Linked DNA regions of Saccharomyces cerevisiae S288C. The protein of the gene in region 3 binds, or shares a complex with, the protein of the main gene of each other region. Links are inferred from orthologs where the notes say so. Each region holds a gene or a part of one and is shown on either strand. Other genes may lie near its edges. The genes, in order: TAF9, TAF5, SPT20 and TAF12. A codon is read from its position in the direction of its gene.

Evidence for each region.
Region 1: the proteins of SPT20 (region 3) and TAF9 are in contact, whole or in part, in a cryo-EM structure (PDB 6TB4), measured with the Komagataella phaffii proteins. The link is inferred for Saccharomyces cerevisiae S288C from one-to-one orthologs. Residues at the interface, in XP_002490759.1 of Komagataella phaffii: Tyr114, Arg117, Gln194, Leu195, Tyr198, Leu202, His241, Arg242, Pro249, Val251, Val264, His265, Glu266, His267, Arg268, Pro269, Ala271; in XP_002491029.1 of Komagataella phaffii: Lys99, Glu100, Leu103, Glu104, Lys111, Pro119, Trp121, Ile123, Arg124, Leu125, Pro126, Pro127, Glu128, Lys129.
Region 2: the proteins of SPT20 (region 3) and TAF5 are in contact, whole or in part, in a cryo-EM structure (PDB 6T9I), measured with the Saccharomyces cerevisiae proteins. Residues at the interface, in NP_014493.1 of Saccharomyces cerevisiae: Arg112 (codon at 2,321), Pro113 (codon at 2,324), Lys114 (codon at 2,327), Arg115 (codon at 2,330), Leu116 (codon at 2,333), Tyr117 (codon at 2,336), Asn118 (codon at 2,339), Phe119 (codon at 2,342), Val120 (codon at 2,345), Glu121 (codon at 2,348), Arg200 (codon at 2,585), Phe206 (codon at 2,603), Tyr207 (codon at 2,606), Glu208 (codon at 2,609), Gly209 (codon at 2,612), Asp289 (codon at 2,852), Asp295 (codon at 2,870), Tyr299 (codon at 2,882), Phe305 (codon at 2,900), Asp307 (codon at 2,906), Ile309 (codon at 2,912), Gln311 (codon at 2,918), Gln312 (codon at 2,921), Phe313 (codon at 2,924), Glu314 (codon at 2,927), Ser315 (codon at 2,930), Glu316 (codon at 2,933), Ile317 (codon at 2,936), Leu318 (codon at 2,939), Thr319 (codon at 2,942); in NP_009757.1 of Saccharomyces cerevisiae: Leu60 (codon at 3,568), Ile63 (codon at 3,559), Val64 (codon at 3,556), Tyr67 (codon at 3,547), Leu68 (codon at 3,544), Lys70 (codon at 3,538), Lys71 (codon at 3,535), Gly72 (codon at 3,532), Tyr73 (codon at 3,529), Glu77 (codon at 3,517), Leu80 (codon at 3,508), Arg81 (codon at 3,505), Ala82 (codon at 3,502), Glu83 (codon at 3,499), Ser84 (codon at 3,496), Gly85 (codon at 3,493), Arg86 (codon at 3,490), Thr87 (codon at 3,487), Thr89 (codon at 3,481), Pro90 (codon at 3,478), Gln91 (codon at 3,475), Asn92 (codon at 3,472), Ser95 (codon at 3,463), Pro96 (codon at 3,460), Ala97 (codon at 3,457), Thr99 (codon at 3,451), Gly102 (codon at 3,442), Lys103 (codon at 3,439), Phe104 (codon at 3,436), Pro105 (codon at 3,433).
Region 4: the proteins of SPT20 (region 3) and TAF12 are in contact, whole or in part, in a cryo-EM structure (PDB 6T9J), measured with the Saccharomyces cerevisiae proteins. Residues at the interface, in NP_014493.1 of Saccharomyces cerevisiae: Asn389 (codon at 3,152), Gln392 (codon at 3,161), Leu393 (codon at 3,164), Ile396 (codon at 3,173), Met397 (codon at 3,176), Asn398 (codon at 3,179), Glu399 (codon at 3,182), Arg400 (codon at 3,185), Thr401 (codon at 3,188), Thr402 (codon at 3,191), Thr403 (codon at 3,194), Ile404 (codon at 3,197), Ser407 (codon at 3,206), Val411 (codon at 3,218); in NP_010429.1 of Saccharomyces cerevisiae: Ala377 (codon at 4,486), Tyr378 (codon at 4,489), Arg379 (codon at 4,492), Ser380 (codon at 4,495), Asn381 (codon at 4,498), Arg382 (codon at 4,501), Pro383 (codon at 4,504), Gly388 (codon at 4,519), Ser389 (codon at 4,522), Ala390 (codon at 4,525), Asn397 (codon at 4,546), Leu404 (codon at 4,567), Pro405 (codon at 4,570), Tyr407 (codon at 4,576), Glu408 (codon at 4,579), Met409 (codon at 4,582), Asp410 (codon at 4,585), Gln412 (codon at 4,591).

Annotation. Positions count from the first base shown.
Region 1 is NC_001145.3:740,530-744,813, forward strand, and holds TAF9 (chromatin modification protein), read left to right. Parts: upstream 1-2,441; coding exon 2,442-2,915; downstream 2,916-4,284. Other genes in the region: RNH1 (RNA-DNA hybrid ribonuclease), read left to right, coding at 1-783; GTPase-activating protein RNA1, read right to left, coding at 983-2,206; BCH1 (exomer complex subunit), read left to right, coding at 3,220-4,284. UniProt on the Saccharomyces cerevisiae protein: Functions as a component of both the DNA-binding general transcription initiation factor complex TFIID and the transcription coactivator SAGA complex.
Region 2 is NC_001134.8:614,779-621,426, forward strand, and holds TAF5 (chromatin modification protein), read right to left. Parts: upstream 3,746-6,648; coding exon 1,349-3,745; downstream 1-1,348. Other genes in the region: YBR197C (uncharacterized protein), read right to left, coding at 425-1,078; KTR4 (putative mannosyltransferase), read left to right, coding at 4,131-5,525; phosphatidylinositol-3-phosphate-binding protein BEM1, read left to right, coding at 6,094-6,648. UniProt on the Saccharomyces cerevisiae protein: Functions as a component of both the DNA-binding general transcription initiation factor complex TFIID and the transcription coactivator SAGA complex.
Region 3 is NC_001147.6:45,260-49,561, reverse strand, and holds SPT20 (Spt20p), read left to right. Parts: upstream 1-1,987; coding exon 1,988-3,802; downstream 3,803-4,302. Other genes in the region: CTR9 (Ctr9p), read left to right, coding at 1-7; DNA replication protein PSF3, read right to left, coding at 114-698; PEX11 (Pex11p), read left to right, coding at 919-1,629; DCP1 (Dcp1p), read right to left, coding at 3,929-4,302. UniProt on the Saccharomyces cerevisiae protein: Component of the transcription coactivator SAGA complex. SAGA acts as a general cofactor required for essentially all RNA polymerase II transcription. At the promoters, SAGA is required for transcription pre-initiation complex (PIC) recruitment.
Region 4 is NC_001136.10:743,381-748,857, forward strand, and holds TAF12 (Taf12p), read left to right. Parts: upstream 1-3,357; coding exon 3,358-4,977; downstream 4,978-5,477. Other genes in the region: ubiquitin-protein ligase SAN1, read right to left, coding at 1-494; MKC7 (aspartyl protease), read right to left, coding at 931-2,721; DNA-binding transcription factor SWI5, read right to left, coding at 5,233-5,477. UniProt on the Saccharomyces cerevisiae protein: Functions as a component of both the DNA-binding general transcription initiation factor complex TFIID and the transcription coactivator SAGA complex.

The DNA.
Region 1 (4,284 bases), on a different chromosome or scaffold from region 3:
TCCTCCTTGACATCGTCATCAGCATGTTCATCTTTAAGCTCTGCTAATACAAATACCTTTTATTCAGTAAAGAGTAATGTTCCAAATATCGAGAGTAAAATCTTTAACAATTGGAAAGACTGTCAAGCCTATGTCAAGCATAAAAGGGGTATAACCTTCAAGAAGTTTGAAGACCAATTAGCTGCGGAAAACTTCATTAGTGGTATGAGTGCGCATGATTACAAGCTCATGAATATATCCAAAGAAAGTTTTGAATCTAAGTATAAGCTTTCTAGCAATACCATGTACAACAAGTCTATGAACGTTTACTGTGATGGTTCAAGTTTTGGAAACGGCACGTCATCTTCAAGGGCAGGTTATGGTGCATATTTTGAAGGAGCGCCAGAGGAAAATATTTCAGAACCCTTATTATCGGGAGCTCAAACTAATAATAGAGCTGAAATCGAAGCAGTATCAGAAGCTTTGAAGAAAATCTGGGAAAAGTTAACTAATGAAAAGGAAAAAGTAAATTATCAAATCAAAACTGATTCAGAGTACGTAACCAAATTATTAAATGACAGGTATATGACGTATGATAATAAAAAACTTGAAGGGCTACCTAATTCTGATTTAATTGTTCCTTTGGTGCAGAGGTTCGTTAAAGTTAAAAAGTACTATGAGTTGAATAAAGAGTGCTTCAAAAATAATGGTAAATTTCAGATTGAATGGGTAAAAGGACACGATGGTGATCCAGGAAATGAAATGGCAGATTTTCTGGCGAAGAAAGGAGCATCTAGACGATAATGCTGTTTTTTGCTTGGCTTCTTACTGGACCTGTTGTACCTGTAATAGAAATATATATTTTATATCTTTTGCATACATATACATACATCAGCTATTTGGTTTTTTAACTTACCCGATAACTATCTATAAGCGTGTCACCATGATATTTGCCTGAACCTCGTCCACAGTTGATTGTGTTTATTTTTACTTTTATTCATAGCTATTTGATTTCAGTTTCAGCTAAACGTTCAGCAAGATCATCTACTTGTACTTCTAGCAGTTCCTTTTCAAGCCTTTCCGTTTCAATTTCTTCGAGTTTTTCATCCTCGTCCTCGTCTTCCTCGTCCTCGCCTTCCTCATCTTCACTATCGACCTCTTCAAAATCGTCAACCTCTAAATCATCAAATTTGCTTTGGAGCAAATCTAAAGCATCAGAATCTTCATCTAATCTGTTACCATTTATTTCTAGCTTTTCCAATTCAGGTAAATTTCCCTTTTCCATAGCCGGTAAGAAGGATACTTCAATGGTTTCTTGAGCCATTTCATTATATTCGAATTTCAAGACATGCAAATTGGGGAATTTAACTTCGGTGAATACTTTAAAGACTTCATCTGAACCAGCAGTTTTCAAAAGACAGTCGTTCAAATTCAATTCAAATAAACTATCCTTCCATGTAGGCAAGGCCTTAGCAAGGATCAAAGAAGCATGTTTCGTGAAAGTATTGTCTTGAAGATCCAAGATTTCCAAGTTTTTCAAGTACTGTAAACCGTAATGAATTAGCGTGGCGACACCTTTAGGCCTAATACCATTTTGGTACAGCTTTACGACTTTCAAACCTTCGGAGTGGCTTTTCAAACCCAGAGCTAAGTAGACTGCGGATCCATTCTCTAATCTATTTCTACCACAGATAAAAGTTTCCAAAAATGGTTTGGAAGCAGCTTTCTTATTTTGAGCGAGATGAAATAGGGCCTTACCAATCCTTTCACCAGCAAAAGGGCCCATACCATTGTTACTTAAGATCAAATGTTTGATATTCACGGCATGTGCAATGTAATCTTCTAGTAACTCGATTGTTCTTAGCCCAAACGCATTATCAGAAAGGTTCACAATCTCCAAGTGAGGACATTTCAACAGAACAGGCAATAAAAACTTCAACGAATCAACGACTTCGTCAACCAACCTCGAAGTGTATAAGTCAGCAAAATTTACTTCAACCAAAGATTCCCTGACCTGTGTATTTTCAGCGATGCATTTAGCTAATGCTTCCGAAGCTTCAGTACCGATTGTATTCCCTGAAAGGTCTAATTTGGTACAGGTTTTCAAAGCTGCCAATTCTTCCAGGTATGGTTTGATATCGTCACTGGTTGTTAACTTGAGTGCCTTCCCAGAGATGGAGTAAACTTGTTCTTCCTCGTGCTGAGGAACGAAGTGCAAGGTAGCCATAGCTAAAAATCTGTTTCGAAAGACAGCCTGTTAAAATGGCCTATATTCACCTTTTACCGTGATATTATGCCTTTGATCAATATCTTCCTAATAAATTTTTTTCCATTAATTGTCCCACAACGTGCATAGTGACATGCATTCCATGACCAAACTAAGAGCTTTAAATCAAAAGTAGAATTTGACATTATGAAACAACACGACAACAAGAAAAGACTAGAGGACTTCACAGACCATTATGAACGGCGGAGGCAAGAATGTTTTGAATAAAAACTCAGTGGGCTCAGTATCAGAAGTTGGTCCGGACTCAACACAAGAGGAAACGCCACGAGATGTCCGTCTTTTGCATCTGCTCCTCGCATCACAGTCGATTCATCAATATGAGGACCAAGTACCGCTACAATTGATGGATTTTGCACATAGGTACACACAAGGAGTCCTTAAGGACGCGTTGGTTTACAACGACTACGCTGGCAGTGGAAATTCTGCCGGCAGTGGATTAGGAGTAGAAGACATACGGCTTGCCATTGCAGCGAGAACACAATACCAATTTAAGCCTACGGCACCTAAGGAGCTCATGTTACAGTTAGCTGCGGAAAGAAACAAGAAGGCATTACCTCAAGTGATGGGTACGTGGGGTGTCAGGCTTCCCCCAGAAAAATATTGTCTCACAGCGAAGGAGTGGGACCTTGAGGACCCAAAGTCTATGTGAATGCACCGCTTATATATCATAAGTACACTAAATCAAGTTCTTCCGGAAGATGCGTCATGTAGAATGCATAATAGAGTAATATACACTAAATAATGCGCTAGTCGTGTATCGTGATCATGTTCTCTAATGTTCTTTTTCCTGCCTGCCCTTTCCTACATGGAAAGTTAGAGAAATGAGATCTACACGATAATGTAGTAACAAATGGACCCTTAAACATCTCAATTCATCTTCTTGAGAGCACTTTCCGCGCTGTATTGATTTTTAGAACGTGAAAAGGATAAACTGAAAACTTGAAGTCCTAACCATGTTGTCTCAAACCTCCATACCGGAAGTGAAAGAAGACGTGATAGGCTATGCGCTACACCAGAGGAGAGCCAGAGTGGGACAATTCCAAGACTTGGGTCCGCCTGATTTAATTACTTTGATCAAATCGTTACCTTCATCCTCGAGCACAACAACTGCTACTGCCTCCGCCAACGATAACGGAGCAACTTCAAACATCAATGGACAAGATCCTACGACCATAGTTACGGAGTTACATTCCCATGACAAATTAAAGGGGCAGATCGGCACTTTCTTTTACTGTATGGGTATCGATACTTCGGATCCAACTTCTATTACAATCTTTGCCAAAAAGATAACCGATCTTTTCTTAGACACGCCCCAAATTTGGTTTGGTAAGAAGAAGCACTTTCACGTATCGAAGATTTCTATCAGTTCTTGGAATGCGTTTAGGAAATATGATGTTAACATTATAGTTCACATTCCAGGAACTGTGCAAACCTACATTATAAATAGCGACGGTGAACAATCGCAACTTCCCTCCGTGGCAGAAGCGTCATCTGGCCGCAACTCACAGGATTTAAACGTCAACATGATTTGGGCGGAAACGTTTATGAGTGGTATTGTACGTGACATTATGATTATGAAAGATAATCGTGCGGATGGAGAATCCCAGAATTTGGTAGAAACACTAATTTTCAATCCATTTACCTCGGGTGAGTTGGAAGATGTTGCCAATAACTTTATTAAACTGTTCCCCTTGGTCTATGAAAAAGGTGTTTATTTAGATGCACCTACTCACGTTTTAAATCCCTCGTTAACCAATAATTATTTAGTGGAAACTTTAGTGGAAATAGTTAGGTTAACTAAGAGTTTGGAAGCATGTCGTAAAATGCTCAAGAAGTTAATAGAAATTCATCCAGAAGCAGTAATAATATTAATTCGTGTTTATTTTGCGTGCGATTTAGAGATAGATGCAGTTGACCTGATCAACGAGCAACTAAATTCCCCCTCTTCGTTCTTAGCCGACGATTCAAAGACTAGCCATATCCAGCTAATCTTCAAATCCGAATTATTAAGTATTCAA
Region 2 (6,648 bases), on a different chromosome or scaffold from region 3:
GTAGTGCCCTGAAATACATAGCGGTGTATTATTTAGCATTAACATACAAAAAAAAAATAACGGAGGCACCAATGGAAGTGGTGTCGCTACATTAGTTTTTAACTCAGTCAGAAAACTGAATTTAGTTGATATGGGACCGCTCCAAGGTAGGAGAATACTAGATCAAGTAAAGCAACCGCACTAGTGCCTTTTTCAAACAAGGTGGTTTGATGAGGAGGCTTTCTACAATCCTAGAAATATAAGACATCTGTCAGATTAGCCGCCGTTCATATGGTTTCAAAAGGTTGCGAATGGAGACAAACGTTCCTCGTCCCAAATTAGCCAGACGGAACAGGACAATAAAGGTGATAATGTAATCCATGACTTCCTCTATTTTAGACGGGACTTTTAGCATCCTCTAAATATTTTCAACCCATACATGTCATCAGCATCGGTGAACATCTTTAATAGTATCGACAACTTGGCTCACGTACTTCTCACCGTCAAGTGCGATTTCCGGGTCATGCAATACCTCGTCTGGTTCTTGATCTTTATTCGTGGCAGAATTATGCTGATCCTTATGAGGAGGGCTCCTCAGCTTGGCATACTTTAGTCGCTGATTTCTTTCCCTCATTAATCGCAGTAGTTGAGCGTGCGACTTGCGCATTTGCGTGAGATTGCTCTCAAAATCTCGTGGGAACCCGTCGTTGACGATAGGTTCTTTCGCCATCTTCTTCACATCATCCAGTGTATCGATTTCAGACCATGATACGTCTTGCGTCTCCGTAGGTGCCAGGTTTGAGTGCATTGTTATACGGCTACCATTTACGCTTCTTTCGTATGCAGTATTACCCCTACTAATGCTGGTCGTTAAGGGGTTTAGTGCTGGAGGCGTGGTTAGGTTTTTGGTCGGAAGTGCGTTGGAACTGCCCATTATAGAGGCAGTGGAATCTGAAGATCCCTTTCTTTTATCTTTGTCGCTCTTTGCCTTTAATTGAACCAGCTGAGGGTTTCCTTCCTGGCTACTAGATTTCCTTCTGTTGGTGGAATCCGCGTCGCTTACTTTCACCTGGACTGGTGGGGTTTGCTTCACTCCCATTATTTGTCTTCGTTCGTGCCAGCAACATACATTTCATCTTATTTCTCTGGAAGGTTTTTACAACAACCAGTTACATTTTTCATTTTTCTGTTCTTCGCCTTTCTTGTTTTGGCCCCGATGACTGAGCGAAAAAAAAAAGGCTAAAGAAGACGCTATGATAACCGCCGAGCAGGTCAAGTACGATGTCGAAAAAGCATCTAATAGTTACATATCGGATTAGGTTATACTTATTACATATCACTTCCATGCTGTTATTTTTTTCAGTGTGAATTATGGCCTGAAAGCACCTCCTGCAAGGGCTAAATTGCTTCTGCTGAACTTGACCTTAAAAACAGGCGTCTTTTTGGTGTAGAACGACGCTACTAAATCGCTTGTAGGTATTACTGTTCTTCTGCGACCATATTCTTTTATATCTTGGTTTATAGATGCAGTAACGTCACCCAAGTATCCAATGAATGGCTCATCTGGTTCTGCGCTTGGCTCAGTAGTGGCCTTTTTCAAATCCCATACACGGACTGTATGATCGGCACCTCCACTAATAAGTACGTTTCCCTCTTTGCTATATGATAAGGAATAAATGGCATTCTTACCATGGCCACGCATTTGTTTCAACCTTTTGCCGGTACCAATATCCCATACATTAATAATACCATCTTCGCTACCAGTGGACAACCACCTACCATCTGGACAAACAGCAATAGAAATGACGGGCGCAGTATGTCCAAGAAATAACCTAACCGAGTCGCCTGTAGAAACGTCCCACATTCGACACGTCTTATCGCTGGATCCCGTAAACACATAGCAACCGTTCGGATGAAATGACACACAATCAACATCATTTAAATGTCCTGCAAATATTCTTAATGGATATATGTGATCGCATGACCATAACCTTGCGGTTTGGTCGTGCGATGCAGTGGCGAAATAATGGCCTAGCGGGGAGAAACTAACATCCCACACAGGGTGATTATGGCCCTTATAGCTTACTAGCGCGGTGTGAGTATCCATGGACCATAGCCTGACGGTTTTATCTTCAGAACCAGAAAGTAAATACTTATTATCCGGACTGAAACTTGTTGAATATACTGTACCACTGTGCCCCACCAAAGTTTTACACGTTGGGTCTTCATCCTTGTCGTTGTTATTTAACGCGATGTTAGGATTATTAAGTGATGAGCCGTCGAGTGACCAGATCTTGATATAACTGTCTTGAAAGCCAGCAGCCGCTATCCTACAATCATCACTGAAATCTAAACATGACATGTCTTTATTTGTGTTTTGGAATGTATACATGCACACGCTTGGTAAGGCCAACTGTAAATTATCTAGTTTGATGGCATCACGAGATTCCTTGACCTTCTGAATCTCCAACTTCAAATCTAGTGCCGTCTTTGGTGGTAAAGGTAAAATATCACGTGCTGGCGAAGATAAATTGCTGTCTTTTTTTTCACCATCCACCTTCAATTCGCTCTCTTTTTTTTCCTCATCTTTGGCGATTTTATCTTTAATTTTGTCTTTATCATCGTCGCCAGTATTATCCTTAAATTTTTCGTTATTCATAGCTTTATATTCTTGCAATAAGGTTCTATTGTTGGCTCCACTGTAATTGTCACCTGCAGTTTGTTGATTTAGTTGTTTCTCTTGATCATCCTTAATTTTCAATTCAGTTTCAATCTCCTTAACAAACTCCTCGTCTTTTGGGAAAGGTCCCAGCTTGACAGGAACAGAATTCATTTCTAAATTTTGTTTACCATTTCCGTTTTCACTATCACTGAGAACTTTTATTCCATCAGCCAATTTTTCCCTTGCGGTTACTGATTCTACAATATTTGGATCTAGGTGCTGATTTATTACACTAATTATTAATGAACCTCCAATACTCTCATTTTCATTCAAAAAATATAAGAGAAGATTTAAAGTGGTTTTAGACATAGTAATTCTGTACTTGTGAGATTGGAAAGCACTTGCGACCTCATTTTCCTTGATGTGATCTATAGAATTGACACTGAAAAGTCTATTAATTTCTGAGCCATGGAAGTCCTTAAAATCGGGAGAAAATCTATCAAAGAAACGACGGGCGTAAACAGGATTTTTGGCCACCAAATTTAAAAATAAATAAATGAATATTGGGTACATGATGTAGCTTAGTTCCGGCTTGTAAATTTCCAGCGACGAATCTACCCAGTTTTTCAACATTGAATATGCACGTATATAATTTTCAGGTGCGTTGAGCCCTTCTAGTCGCCCGCTAGATACTATACCACCTTCTGCATCTCTCTTGGATGACAAATTAGTTGGATTGCTTATGGGTTTAGCTGTCTTCCCGGGGTTCGGAGGAATTGATGATTGTTCAGGAAATTTACCTGTTTTAGTATTTGCTGGTGATTGTTTGTTTTGAGGTGTTAGTGTACGTCCACTCTCGGCTCTCAGCATGGCCTCTGTACGGTGGTATCCCTTTTTATTCAGGTACTCTAGGACAATTCTATTCAAGTCTGACGCCGAAAACGGACCATTGGACCTCCCCTGCTGTTGAGACTGGCCTTGACTCTGTTGCTGTGGCTGCTGGCCGGAATTGGCGCCAGCAGCATTATTAGTTCGTTGATTCTTTACTGGTTGTGGCTGATGCGTGCCATTTTGATTCTGATTCGTACTTTGCTTCTGTGACATTCTTATTTTTCAAGTATCTCAACTTGAACCCGGAGTTTCTCGTATCTTTTCTCCTTCTCTTTTCCTACCCTTATGCCTGCTTTATTGCTCTTTCTGCCACTTTGTAGACTTCATTTGAAATCTTGAAACTTTTTTGCTTTTGAACAATTCATCTGAACCCGTAAAAGATGATATTTACAGCTACTTTTACCCGGCTAAGGGGAGAATTCCATTCAACGGAACGAGCTCTATAAGACGTTCTCTAACTGCATGTAGTGAAATATTTTGAACCATTTGATATGCAGATACTTTCACGGTGTTGCACGGCTGTATAATATACAATAGGCCGTTACAGCAGAACACAATTTTTAGTTTAGACCCAACAAGGTGAACCATACGAACTGATATGAGGTTTCTTTCAAAAAGGATACTGAAACCTGTACTTTCAGTGATCATTCTAATATCGATTGCCGTAACCGTTGTTCTTTACTTTTTAACGGCGAATGAGAACTATTTGCAAGCAGTCAAGGATAGTGCCAAGTCCCAGTATGCTTCTCTCCGGGAGAGCTACAAAAGTATTACAGGTAAAACTGAAAGCGCTGATGAACTTCCTGATCATGATGCTGAGGTGTTAGATAGCATAATGGACAGGCTACACGAGCCCCTTTATGAAAAGGACACTTTTGACCCGAATGAAGTCCTTGCTGAAAATAAACAGTTGTACGAGGAGTTTTTACTTCAAGAAATTTCTGAGCCAAAGGTGGACAATTTGGTACGTAGCGGGGATCCGTTAGCCGGCAAGGCAAAAGGAACTATTTTGAGTTTGGTGAGAAATTCTGATTTAGAGGATATAATTTCTTCTATTCAACAGCTAGAAGAGGAGTACAATAAGAATTTTGGATATCCCTATACCTTCCTTAACGATGAGGAATTTACTGACGAATTCAAAGATGGAATAAAAAGTATTCTTCCTAAGGACCGTGTAGTAGAATTTGGCACTATTGGTCCAGATAACTGGAATATGCCTGATAGCATAGATAGGGAGAGATACGACCAAGAAATGGACAAAATGAGTAAAGAGAACATTCAGTATGCAGAGGTGGAATCCTATCATAACATGTGTCGTTTCTATTCTAAAGAATTTTACCATCATCCTCTGCTATCTAAATATAAATATGTGTGGAGATTAGAGCCAAACGTGAATTTCTATTGCAAAATTAACTATGACGTTTTCCAATTTATGAACAAGAATGACAAGATTTATGGGTTTGTTTTGAACCTCTATGATAGTCCGCAAACCATCGAAACGCTATGGACTTCAACTATGGATTTTGTCGAGGAACACCCAAACTATTTGAACGTCAACGGAGCCTTCGCATGGCTAAAAGATAACTCTCAAAATCCAAAAAATTATGATTATACTCAAGGGTATTCAACTTGTCATTTCTGGACCAATTTTGAAATAGTCGATTTAGACTTTTTGAGGTCAGAACCTTATGAAAAATATATGCAATATCTTGAAGAAAAGGGAGGATTCTACTATGAAAGGTGGGGTGATGCCCCTGTAAGAAGTTTGGCACTTGCTTTATTTGCGGATAAGTCAAGCATCCATTGGTTCAGGGATATAGGTTATCACCATACTCCGTACACGAACTGTCCAACTTGTCCAGCAGATTCAGATAGGTGTAATGGAAATTGTGTACCAGGCAAATTCACTCCTTGGAGTGATCTAGACAACCAAAATTGCCAGGCAACCTGGATAAGACACTCTATGTCTGAGGAAGAGTTAGAAATGTATTGAAGACATTAGCTTTGAGAATTTGTGCCGCTGCTTTCGAGAACGGCATCACATCTGGGGTTTTATGATTTAATTTAGGACGCACATAGATAGATATATATTATGGAATTAAGAAAAGTTTATAATGTAGCAACCTAAAAATGTTACAGGTGAACATTCATGGAAAATGAAATGTTTCTCAGCCAGTAGATAGTATTGTTGAAGGTATTATTGGTTTGAGAAAGCTACTCCTCAAAAATGTCACTTGATAATATGGAATTATAATGTCGTTATATTTTCAATCATTTCAATACAATATGGTAAACCGAAATCCAAAAACTTTACAATATCTCTTATCTATTGTTATTCGACATTCTTCCCGGGCCTTAACGGCTTCTTAACTAATATTACCCTAAACGGACAAATGGCGAAGGGCCCCATTCATTTACGAACAGGAAAAAAAGAAAGTGACAATACAGCCATAATTTGATGTACCATCTTAATCAGCATATGTTTTCACTAATATACTAAACCCATATGGATGCACGTTGAAAGCACTGTGTGAAAAGAAATTGTCAAGAAAGCCATATAAATGCTGAAAAACTTCAAACTCTCAAAAAGAGATAGTAATGGGTCGAAGGGCAGAATTACATCCGCAGATATTTCCACACCTTCTCATGATAATGGGAGTGTTATAAAGCATATTAAGACAGTACCAGTGAGGTACCTTTCTTCATCTTCCACCCCAGTGAAAAGCCAACGGGACTCTTCACCAAAAAACAGACATAATTCTAAAGATATTACTTCTCCAGAGAAAGTTATAAAAGCCAAATACAGTTATCAGGCACAAACTTCAAAGGAACTATCTTTCATGGAAGGTGAATTTTTTTATGTATCTGGAGATGAGAAGGATTGGTATAAAGCTTCAAATCCTTCTACTGGAAAAGAGGGTGTTGTCCCCAAAACCTATTTTGAAGTGTTTGATAGAACTAAACCTTCCTCTGTGAATGGATCCAATAGTTCAAGTCGGAAGGTTACAAATGATTCATTAAACATGGGATCGTTATACGCCATTGTTTTATATGACTTTAAGGCAGAAAAAGCTGATGAGTTGACAACTTATGTGGGAGAGAATTTGTTTATTTGC
Region 3 (4,302 bases):
GTTCTAAGAAGAGGCGAGGGTTAGAATCAAGACTTTTAAAGAAACTTAATATTATACTGTTGCCTTTTTTTTATAGTTATTTTATATAGTGTATTTCTAAAGAAAAAGATGTGTTATTTTTTAAACATCCACCTTTTCGTGTCCTTATAAGATTCATGAGACTTTTTATATATCTCCTTCTCCATTTCTTCTAGTTTCAGTAAAAATGTGCTAGTTGCTATATTAGTGTTCGCTGAATTTTTTCCGGTCGAGTCTGCATTGAGATCAATCGATAAACTACTAGCATGATGATTAAGTTCTTGGGCACGTTGCAAAAGTAGCTCACTAACGACATTGGCCAGTTCTTTTTCGCTAAACAACATTATCCATTTTATGGCTAGACTGAAGAAATGCGAATTTATGGAATGCAAGTCCAGAGCCACCGGATCGGTCTTTATAGCGTTCATAACTTTCGTAGAAAACATATCTGGTGGCAGGAGTTCCACAAAAGGTACAGGTTCTTCATCTACCAAGGCTTCGTCACCACCCACAATTGCAAGGATTCTTGCTAACCATAGTGGCAGGCTTAGTTTAGTGTTTTTCGTTATGGGTCGTCCTGGGTTGTTTTCCAAATAACCAAGACCAGGAATATCATATTGAAATTTACAAGGAAACTCTGTCCCATCTGCTAGGACATCATCAATGTCATAGTAACCCATCCTTTCTATGCTTGCCCTTCTATTGTAAAAATATAATACCAAGAACAAAGTTGGCATCAATTCCATTGCGATTTTCACTACGCGTCGGCATTTATCTCGGAGAACCCGAAGCGATGGGTATATCATTTATAGATATAAAAGGGAAGTGACTCCAACAACTGAAAAACCGTTGTCTCCATCTACTACTTCAAAGACTTCATCAAGTAATAGTATAATCAATATGGTCTGTGATACACTGGTATATCATCCCTCCGTGACGAGATTCGTCAAATTTCTAGATGGCTCAGCTGGCAGAGAAAAGGTTCTCAGATTACTGCAGTATTTAGCAAGATTTTTAGCAGTACAGAACTCATCTCTCTTGGCCAGGCAATTACAAGCTCAATTTACCACAGTCAGAAAATTTCTGAGGTTTCTGAAGCCTTTAAACCACTTGCAGGCAGCTGCTAAATTCTACGATAACAAGTTGGCCAGCGACAACGTCGTTAGAGTCTGCAATGTTTTGAAAAACATCTTCTTTGCTGCATATTTGTCGTTAGATCAAGTCAATCTTTTGAGAATTTTGAAAGTGATTCCTGTAACCGTTCTTACCGGTAAGAAAATACCTCGCTGGTCCAATTGGTGTTGGCTGTTCGGCCTCCTAAGTGGTCTGGCTATGGATCTTCGTAAGATCCAAACATCTCATGCCCAGATTGCTGCGTTTGTCAAGGCAAAATCACAAAGCCAAGGCGATGAGCATGAGGATCACAAGAAGGTACTAGGGAAGGCATACCAAGACAGGTACACCGCGTTAAGAAGACTATTCTGGGATGCTGCAGATTCGTTCATCGTCCTCAACAACCTAGGGTACTTGTCTAGCAACGAAGAGTATGTTGCGCTATCCGGTGTTGTCACATCTATCCTTGGTATGCAAGACATGTGGAAAGCTACATAGCTTTCTTTTCATCTTTTTTTTTTATTTGGCTATTCTCCGCTTATGTTTGATTCGACCCTTCTTTATAATTTATTTCTTATGTATATGACCCAATGTTCCATGTCCATACCTGTATAAGATTCTGAGTGACAATAGTTCTTGTTATCCGCACCATTAATAACTAACTAACTATCTTTAAAGTAAAACTGGGATCGCTATAACTGCTTAGTTCTGTTACCCGCTCGTGATACCTGACGACCATTAATCATGAAGAAGTGTTAAGATGATCGACCAGCAGAGATAAAAGAATGAGAAAAGTAGCCTTCAAGAGGATTAGGAAGGAATAGTTACGGTTAATTTGCGCCTATATATTTCAGGGATGAGTGCCAATAGCCCGACAGGAAACGATCCCCATGTATTTGGTATTCCTGTGAACGCAACACCATCCAATATGGGTTCGCCAGGCAGTCCAGTTAATGTACCACCTCCTATGAACCCAGCGGTAGCAAATGTAAATCATCCTGTTATGAGGACAAACAGTAATAGTAATGCCAATGAAGGTACTAGGACTTTAACCAGGGAGCAAATACAGCAATTGCAGCAAAGACAACGATTATTACTACAGCAAAGACTACTCGAACAACAGAGAAAACAGCAAGCACTCCAAAACTATGAGGCTCAGTTTTATCAAATGCTTATGACCTTAAACAAAAGACCTAAAAGACTTTACAATTTTGTGGAAGATGCAGACTCAATTTTGAAAAAATATGAGCAATATTTACACAGTTTTGAATTTCATATTTATGAGAATAATTATAAGATTTGCGCTCCTGCAAATAGCAGGTTACAACAGCAGCAAAAGCAACCCGAGCTGACTAGTGACGGTTTAATATTAACCAAAAATAACGAAACTTTGAAAGAATTTTTAGAGTACGTCGCAAGAGGAAGGATTCCTGATGCTATTATGGAAGTCTTAAGGGACTGTAATATCCAATTTTACGAAGGAAATCTTATTTTACAGGTTTATGACCATACTAATACAGTTGATGTCACCCCCAAAGAGAACAAGCCTAATTTGAACAGCTCTTCTTCCCCTTCAAATAATAATAGCACACAGGACAATTCCAAGATTCAACAACCATCCGAACCTAATAGTGGTGTGGCAAATACAGGCGCAAACACAGCAAATAAGAAGGCATCCTTCAAACGACCTAGAGTATATCGAACATTGTTGAAGCCTAATGATTTGACGACGTATTATGACATGATGTCTTATGCAGATAATGCCAGGTTTTCTGATAGCATTTATCAACAGTTTGAATCTGAAATTTTAACACTTACCAAGAGGAACTTGTCACTAAGTGTGCCATTAAATCCATATGAGCACCGAGACATGTTGGAGGAAACAGCTTTTTCAGAACCTCATTGGGATAGTGAAAAAAAATCCTTCATTCACGAACATCGTGCTGAGTCTACGAGAGAAGGCACGAAGGGCGTTGTAGGGCATATCGAAGAACGCGATGAATTTCCGCAACATAGTTCAAATTATGAACAGTTGATGTTGATCATGAATGAACGCACAACAACGATAACCAACTCCACGTTTGCTGTTTCGTTAACCAAGAATGCGATGGAGATTGCTAGCTCCAGTTCCAACGGGGTACGTGGAGCTTCGTCCTCAACTTCGAATTCCGCATCAAATACAAGGAATAACAGTTTGGCTAATGGCAATCAAGTAGCTTTGGCAGCGGCAGCGGCTGCGGCTGCAGTGGGATCTACCATGGGTAACGATAATAATCAATTTAGCAGGCTGAAATTTATTGAACAATGGAGAATAAATAAAGAAAAAAGAAAACAGCAGGCTTTAAGTGCAAACATCAATCCAACCCCCTTCAACGCTAGAATATCGATGACAGCACCATTGACTCCACAGCAACAGCTACTTCAAAGACAACAGCAGGCCTTGGAGCAACAACAGAATGGTGGAGCCATGAAAAACGCAAATAAACGGAGTGGTAACAATGCCACCAGTAACAATAATAATAATAATAATAATTTAGATAAACCAAAGGTTAAGCGACCTAGAAAAAATGCAAAAAAAAGCGAGAGCGGTACACCAGCTCCTAAAAAGAAAAGAATGACTAAGAAGAAACAGAGCGCAAGTAGCACGCCCTCTTCTACTACAATGTCATAATCTACTTAAATAGAGTTATCATTCCTTATATATATATATATATATATATATATATATATATATATATTGTATTAAAGTACATCATTATTTAAAAAAAATTCTCACTTGGGCATCTCACCTCTGTGCTCAAGCAAAAGAATCTTTTGGCTCATTTTCCAGAAGATATTTTATTAGTTCGTAGATATTTTGTCTATCACTAACTGTATGAATCCATATACCATAGACCTCATGCTTCAAGTTCTTAATAATGACCAATTCATCTTTCACCTCTACCCCCATGCACTCTAGTGGGTTAAGTGTATCCTCTTCTGCATTAAATACTTTTCTTTTATTTACGACACTATTGGGAACAATGCCCATAGAAAAATTGTCAGGATTAATTCGGTTTAATATGATCAATCCATAATTGTATATGTCCTTTCCACTTAAAGTTTTGCCGCAATTATATGTTAGCGAATCATTACTTTTATAAGAGTTCCCATTTCCACTGCTATTCCTGT
Region 4 (5,477 bases), on a different chromosome or scaffold from region 3:
CATAAGGGCCCTTCGGCCTTGGGTAGATCAGAAACTTGCAGAACGGGGAGCTTATCAAACTCATCCTTTGATATTCCTTTTGGTCTATTTAATAGTCTGTTGAATCTCTCCATTGCAAGCTGAGCAGCAACAGATATGAAGCTGTTCAAACGGTCTTGTGGAGTAGACGCAGGAACATCACGAAAAGATAAAACAAGAGCACCGTCGGGTTGATGGCCCCCATTTCCGATGCCAAAGCTGGGCCCAGTACCGTTGGCAATCGTGCTACCGGATGCTGCGCTGTTGTTTTCGTTATTATCATTATTAGATATATTGCTCAAATGTGCTAATCTCTCCGGAGTGAAATAGGAATACTGAATGGAAACGGTTATGTTTCTTGTTTGCTCAGCACCACCATTGAGTGGACCGGAAGCTGCATTTGAATTATTATTATTTTCAGCATTATTTGGTGATGTATTTGTGCCTCTGTTTTGTTCTTGACCACTTTCACTCATAATGAACAAAAGCTGAGGTTACAAGACTATGAGAGAAAACAAAGGGGAAAAAAGGGAGAAACGAACTATCCTGAAATGCTAAATAATTTCTATCTATAGTAGCTTCACTAGAGGATATATATGATAAACTATATTTCCTTCAATATATAGTTTTTAGCTATTATTTCATTATTGATTTGGTGATACTAATGCAATGTAGTTATATGTAAAAAATTCTTTCATATTTTTTGACAATGGCAGATAGAATGTTTTACCCGGCTTTTTGCGTCGAAGTATATAATTGTTGATTAAGAAGCCAGTAACAATAAAAAAGAACAGTATTATTTATTTTACGTTAAAAGACGCTTTTCTTTCAAGTAATGTACAATGTTATACCTCCAGATATACATTGCAACTTTTAAAGTCTAGTAAATGCTTATATGGAGGGAGGGATTTATCAAATGTGATGAAAAATAGCTGTAATGAACCTGGCGAAAAATGGAGGATTCAGATTGTGTCCTCCGTTTTCTTTTCTCGTAGATGAACTTGAGGTGGGAGATAACATTCCTGTTGAGGAAGTACTTGAGGTAGATTTTGAAATAGAGAGAGCTGTCGTACTTGTTTGGGTTTTTTGGCCTTTGGAGCTGGAAGAACTTGTTGCCGAATGAGACGTGGAAGCAAAGTACGATATACTGGAGTTAGCTGCCGTGGAAAACATGTTGCCGCCGGAGACAATACTTTCATATGTAGACCAAGTGCTTGAGTAACCAGGTGCTTTAAGAGCACTTGGAACCGCGCTCTCTATAATCTCAATGTATTCACCGTCGTCGCTGAAGTTAGCCTGAGCCATTGATATCTCCATATTGTCCAGATCATATACCACGTAAGTATTAGCTAAGAAGTTATCACCCAAAATAATGGTCGGATCTGACTGCGGTGCAATACCTAGTATACAAATGTTTGAACGACTATCTGTGACTAGCTGAAAATCGCTTAACCAATTAGAAAGATAGAATCCACCAAAATCAAAGATGATGCTACTCTCTTCTTCCATCTCTTTGATACAATCCATTATGTAGTAACCATATGCAGAAGAGTAAGTAGCTCCGACCTGGTCGGCAAGCATTTTTACCAGCTCAGTTGGCATATACGATATGGTCGTACCTGAATCTAGCAGGACTGGGATCTTTGTAGTGGTTAGGGTTGTCAGATTGTCTTCTTTATCCCCTTTCGACGTACCTAATCCTTGTAAAGTGACTTGGAATTGAATTGGATCCTTGTAGCCGCGATGCTGCAAAGTATTAATGATGGGAATTGTGTATAGGTCGCCCGCATATTTTCCATGATCCACAGCGCCAAACAAAATGGTACCATGTTTCGAATCAGAATCATTTGCGAATAAAGAATAAGCTGTTGATTTTATTACACCCGAATTCTTTAGCACCATCGGAAAGTTATTGTAAGTGTAGCTTTTTTGTACAGAGCTGAGAGAAACACCAGAATAAGTTGACTCCAAGCCAGGCAAACCAATACCCAAGACACCAACTGTTGAGTTTGTTTCGTTTGCTACAGCAAATGATAAACCCGTAATGTTCAAATCGTTCAAGCTCAATTGATCATGGCCCCAGGTACCAGATGCAAAAGTCGTATCACCATAGGCGATCGAAAATTCTGTATTATTGGAGTTGAATGTAGACGACTTAGAGGTATTAAATGTCCCGTATGTAGCGCAGTCAATTAACTGTGATGTAGAAGCTGTACTATCAAAAGTAGCAGTGGCTTCGCTGGTAACTATAGTGGTGTCGTAGCTAATTTCAGTAAACACACTCTCAACCACGCTAGCCAAAGCATCCTTGTTTACTTGTTTAAAGGATGAGCCAGTGGTATCCTTCTTTTTAGTGGAACAGTATGGGTTGTCTGAACCCGTGACCCATAGATCAGAAGAACCAGTGTCGACAAGCACAGTAACTTTTTGAGGAGGGGTGCCAATATCTAATTCCACCGAATAAAAACTGTTTTGATTAGTCAGTTCCACCAGCTCGTAATCATCATCTCTTGTCATCAAACGCGTTCTACCTTTTGTATCATCCAAAGCGTTTTCAAATGAACTGCCGTATTTCTTCTGAAAATTCATTTTGACATAGACTTCATTACTTGGTAAGGATGGAAAATCTGTAACACCGGCATCTACTATTGAGCTGCAGACAAGTAATGCATCTACGACAAATGTGAGGACAGATAATTTCATAGAGCTCTTTCTTTTTCGTTTATTTTTGACGTATTTGCTCAAGCGAATAACGACAAAAGCTTGTTCTCTCGTTGATACTTTTAGCCAATTACAATTTCTTAGCAAGAACGAGTGACGCCAACCAAATTTCTCCCAAAAGTGATTATCTGAATAATGAAAGATGGTAGGAAATAAGGTATTGAAACAGGTTCAAAACTTTAAAAGAAAACTGCCAAATAAACTTTCTCGATGCGTAGCTGAAATTTCAACTTCAAAAAAAAAAAAACGCGTGTAACTTTCTACGTGCAAAACGATGTGTATGAATCCCGTCTTAATTAGTAAATAGGGTCTAGTAAGCGTAGCGAGGATGAATTAAATGCATTGTTGAATATGAAGAGCACCTTATGGTATATAAATGTACAATCTTGATTCATGACAGCTTTGCAAGTAAACGTATCAAATGAATATCACGATTTTGGCTGTATTACCCGGGCAGTATACGCGGCGAATTTTGTTAAAAAATGTGTTAGACTTAAGTCGGAGCAAATGAATAATGGGCATATATAGCGCATAGGTTCGCTAGTGTAAGACAGGAGACTGTCCAATAGCATTCGAATCATAACCGAATCTTTGCCAGTGTGTGTATAAAATACGACAATGTCTTCCAATCCAGAAAATTCTGGTGTTAATGCGAATAATAATACGGGCACTGGTAACGCTGATGCGATCACAGGAGCTCAGCAAAATATGGTACTGCAACCGAGACAGTTGCAAGAAATGGCCGCTAAGTTCAGGACATTACTGACTGAAGCAAGAAATGTAGGTGAAACTACTCCTAGGGGCAAGGAATTGATGTTCCAAGCCGCAAAGATCAAACAGGTATATGATGCCCTTACACTGAATAGGAGAAGACAACAGGCTGCGCAAGCCTACAATAATACTTCAAATTCAAATTCAAGCAATCCAGCTTCTATTCCTACTGAAAATGTCCCTAATTCATCACAGCAACAACAACAACAACAACAACAGACAAGAAACAACAGTAACAAATTTAGCAATATGATAAAACAGGTTCTCACCCCGGAAGAGAACCAAGAATATGAAAAGCTATGGCAGAATTTCCAAGTCCGTCATACGAGTATAAAGGAGAAAGAGACCTACTTGAAACAAAATATTGATAGGTTAGAACAAGAAATAAATAAACAGACGGACGAAGGGCCCAAGCAGCAGCTACAAGAAAAGAAAATTGAACTGCTTAACGATTGGAAGGTGCTAAAAATTGAGTATACCAAGCTGTTCAATAATTATCAAAACAGTAAAAAAACATTCTATGTAGAGTGTGCAAGACACAATCCGGCTTTACATAAATTCTTGCAAGAAAGCACTCAACAGCAACGAGTGCAGCAACAAAGGGTACAACAACAACAACAACAACAGCAGCAGCAGCAGCAACAGCAGCAACAGCAACAGCAACAGCAACAGCAACGCCAGGGTCAAAACCAAAGAAAGATTTCTAGTTCTAATTCTACTGAAATACCCTCTGTAACCGGCCCTGATGCACTGAAATCGCAGCAGCAGCAGCAGAATACAATAACTGCCACCAATAATCCCAGGGGCAATGTTAACACTTCACAGACTGAACAATCGAAAGCTAAGGTAACCAATGTAAATGCAACGGCATCTATGTTGAATAATATAAGTTCGAGCAAATCGGCAATATTCAAACAAACAGAGCCTGCCATACCCATATCGGAAAATATATCTACCAAAACACCAGCACCGGTAGCTTATAGATCCAACAGACCTACAATAACTGGAGGTTCTGCTATGAATGCCAGTGCTTTGAATACACCAGCAACAACTAAATTACCACCCTATGAAATGGATACTCAGAGAGTTATGTCAAAGCGTAAATTAAGAGAGTTAGTGAAGACTGTCGGAATTGATGAGGGTGACGGTGAAACTGTCATTGACGGTGATGTTGAGGAATTACTATTGGATCTTGCCGACGATTTTGTTACTAATGTTACAGCTTTTTCTTGTAGATTGGCAAAACACAGAAAATCGGACAATTTGGAGGCAAGAGACATTCAGTTACATTTGGAGAGAAATTGGAATATTAGGATTCCTGGTTATTCCGCAGACGAAATAAGAAGTACAAGAAAATGGAATCCCTCTCAAAATTATAACCAGAAATTGCAGAGTATCACATCAGATAAGGTAGCAGCTGCAAAAAACAATGGAAACAATGTTGCAAGCTTGAATACAAAAAAATAATTATGTTACCCACATTCTCCACTCTTCCACAGAAAAAATTCCTAAAGTTATAGTTCACATTGTTATATATGTATCTATAAAGCGAAATTTTTTAAAATTAATTGATTAATTAATATTTTGTATCTAAAGTGTTCATACTATATTATTTACTTAGATTATACATAATTAAAAAAAAAAAAAACTTTTTTTCCTTGTTTTCATTTTGTTTTTATTATTAAATATTAAAAAAAGTGTCCATAACATCAATGTTTTTTTTTACCTTTGATTAGTTTTCATTGGCGAAACCATAATCCCCGTTCCATTCCCATCATAACTACGCTCTCTTCTGAGTTGATCTTCAAGCTTGAACATCAACTGTCCATTATGATCCTTGTTAATATTTTCTTTGATTGGACTACTAGAAACACTTGAAGTTCCATCTTTTCTTGGTCTTCCTCTTTTTCTTGGAGACCTTTTAATTACCACGTTTTCATACTTTTTACCACCGCTGCAAATCATTC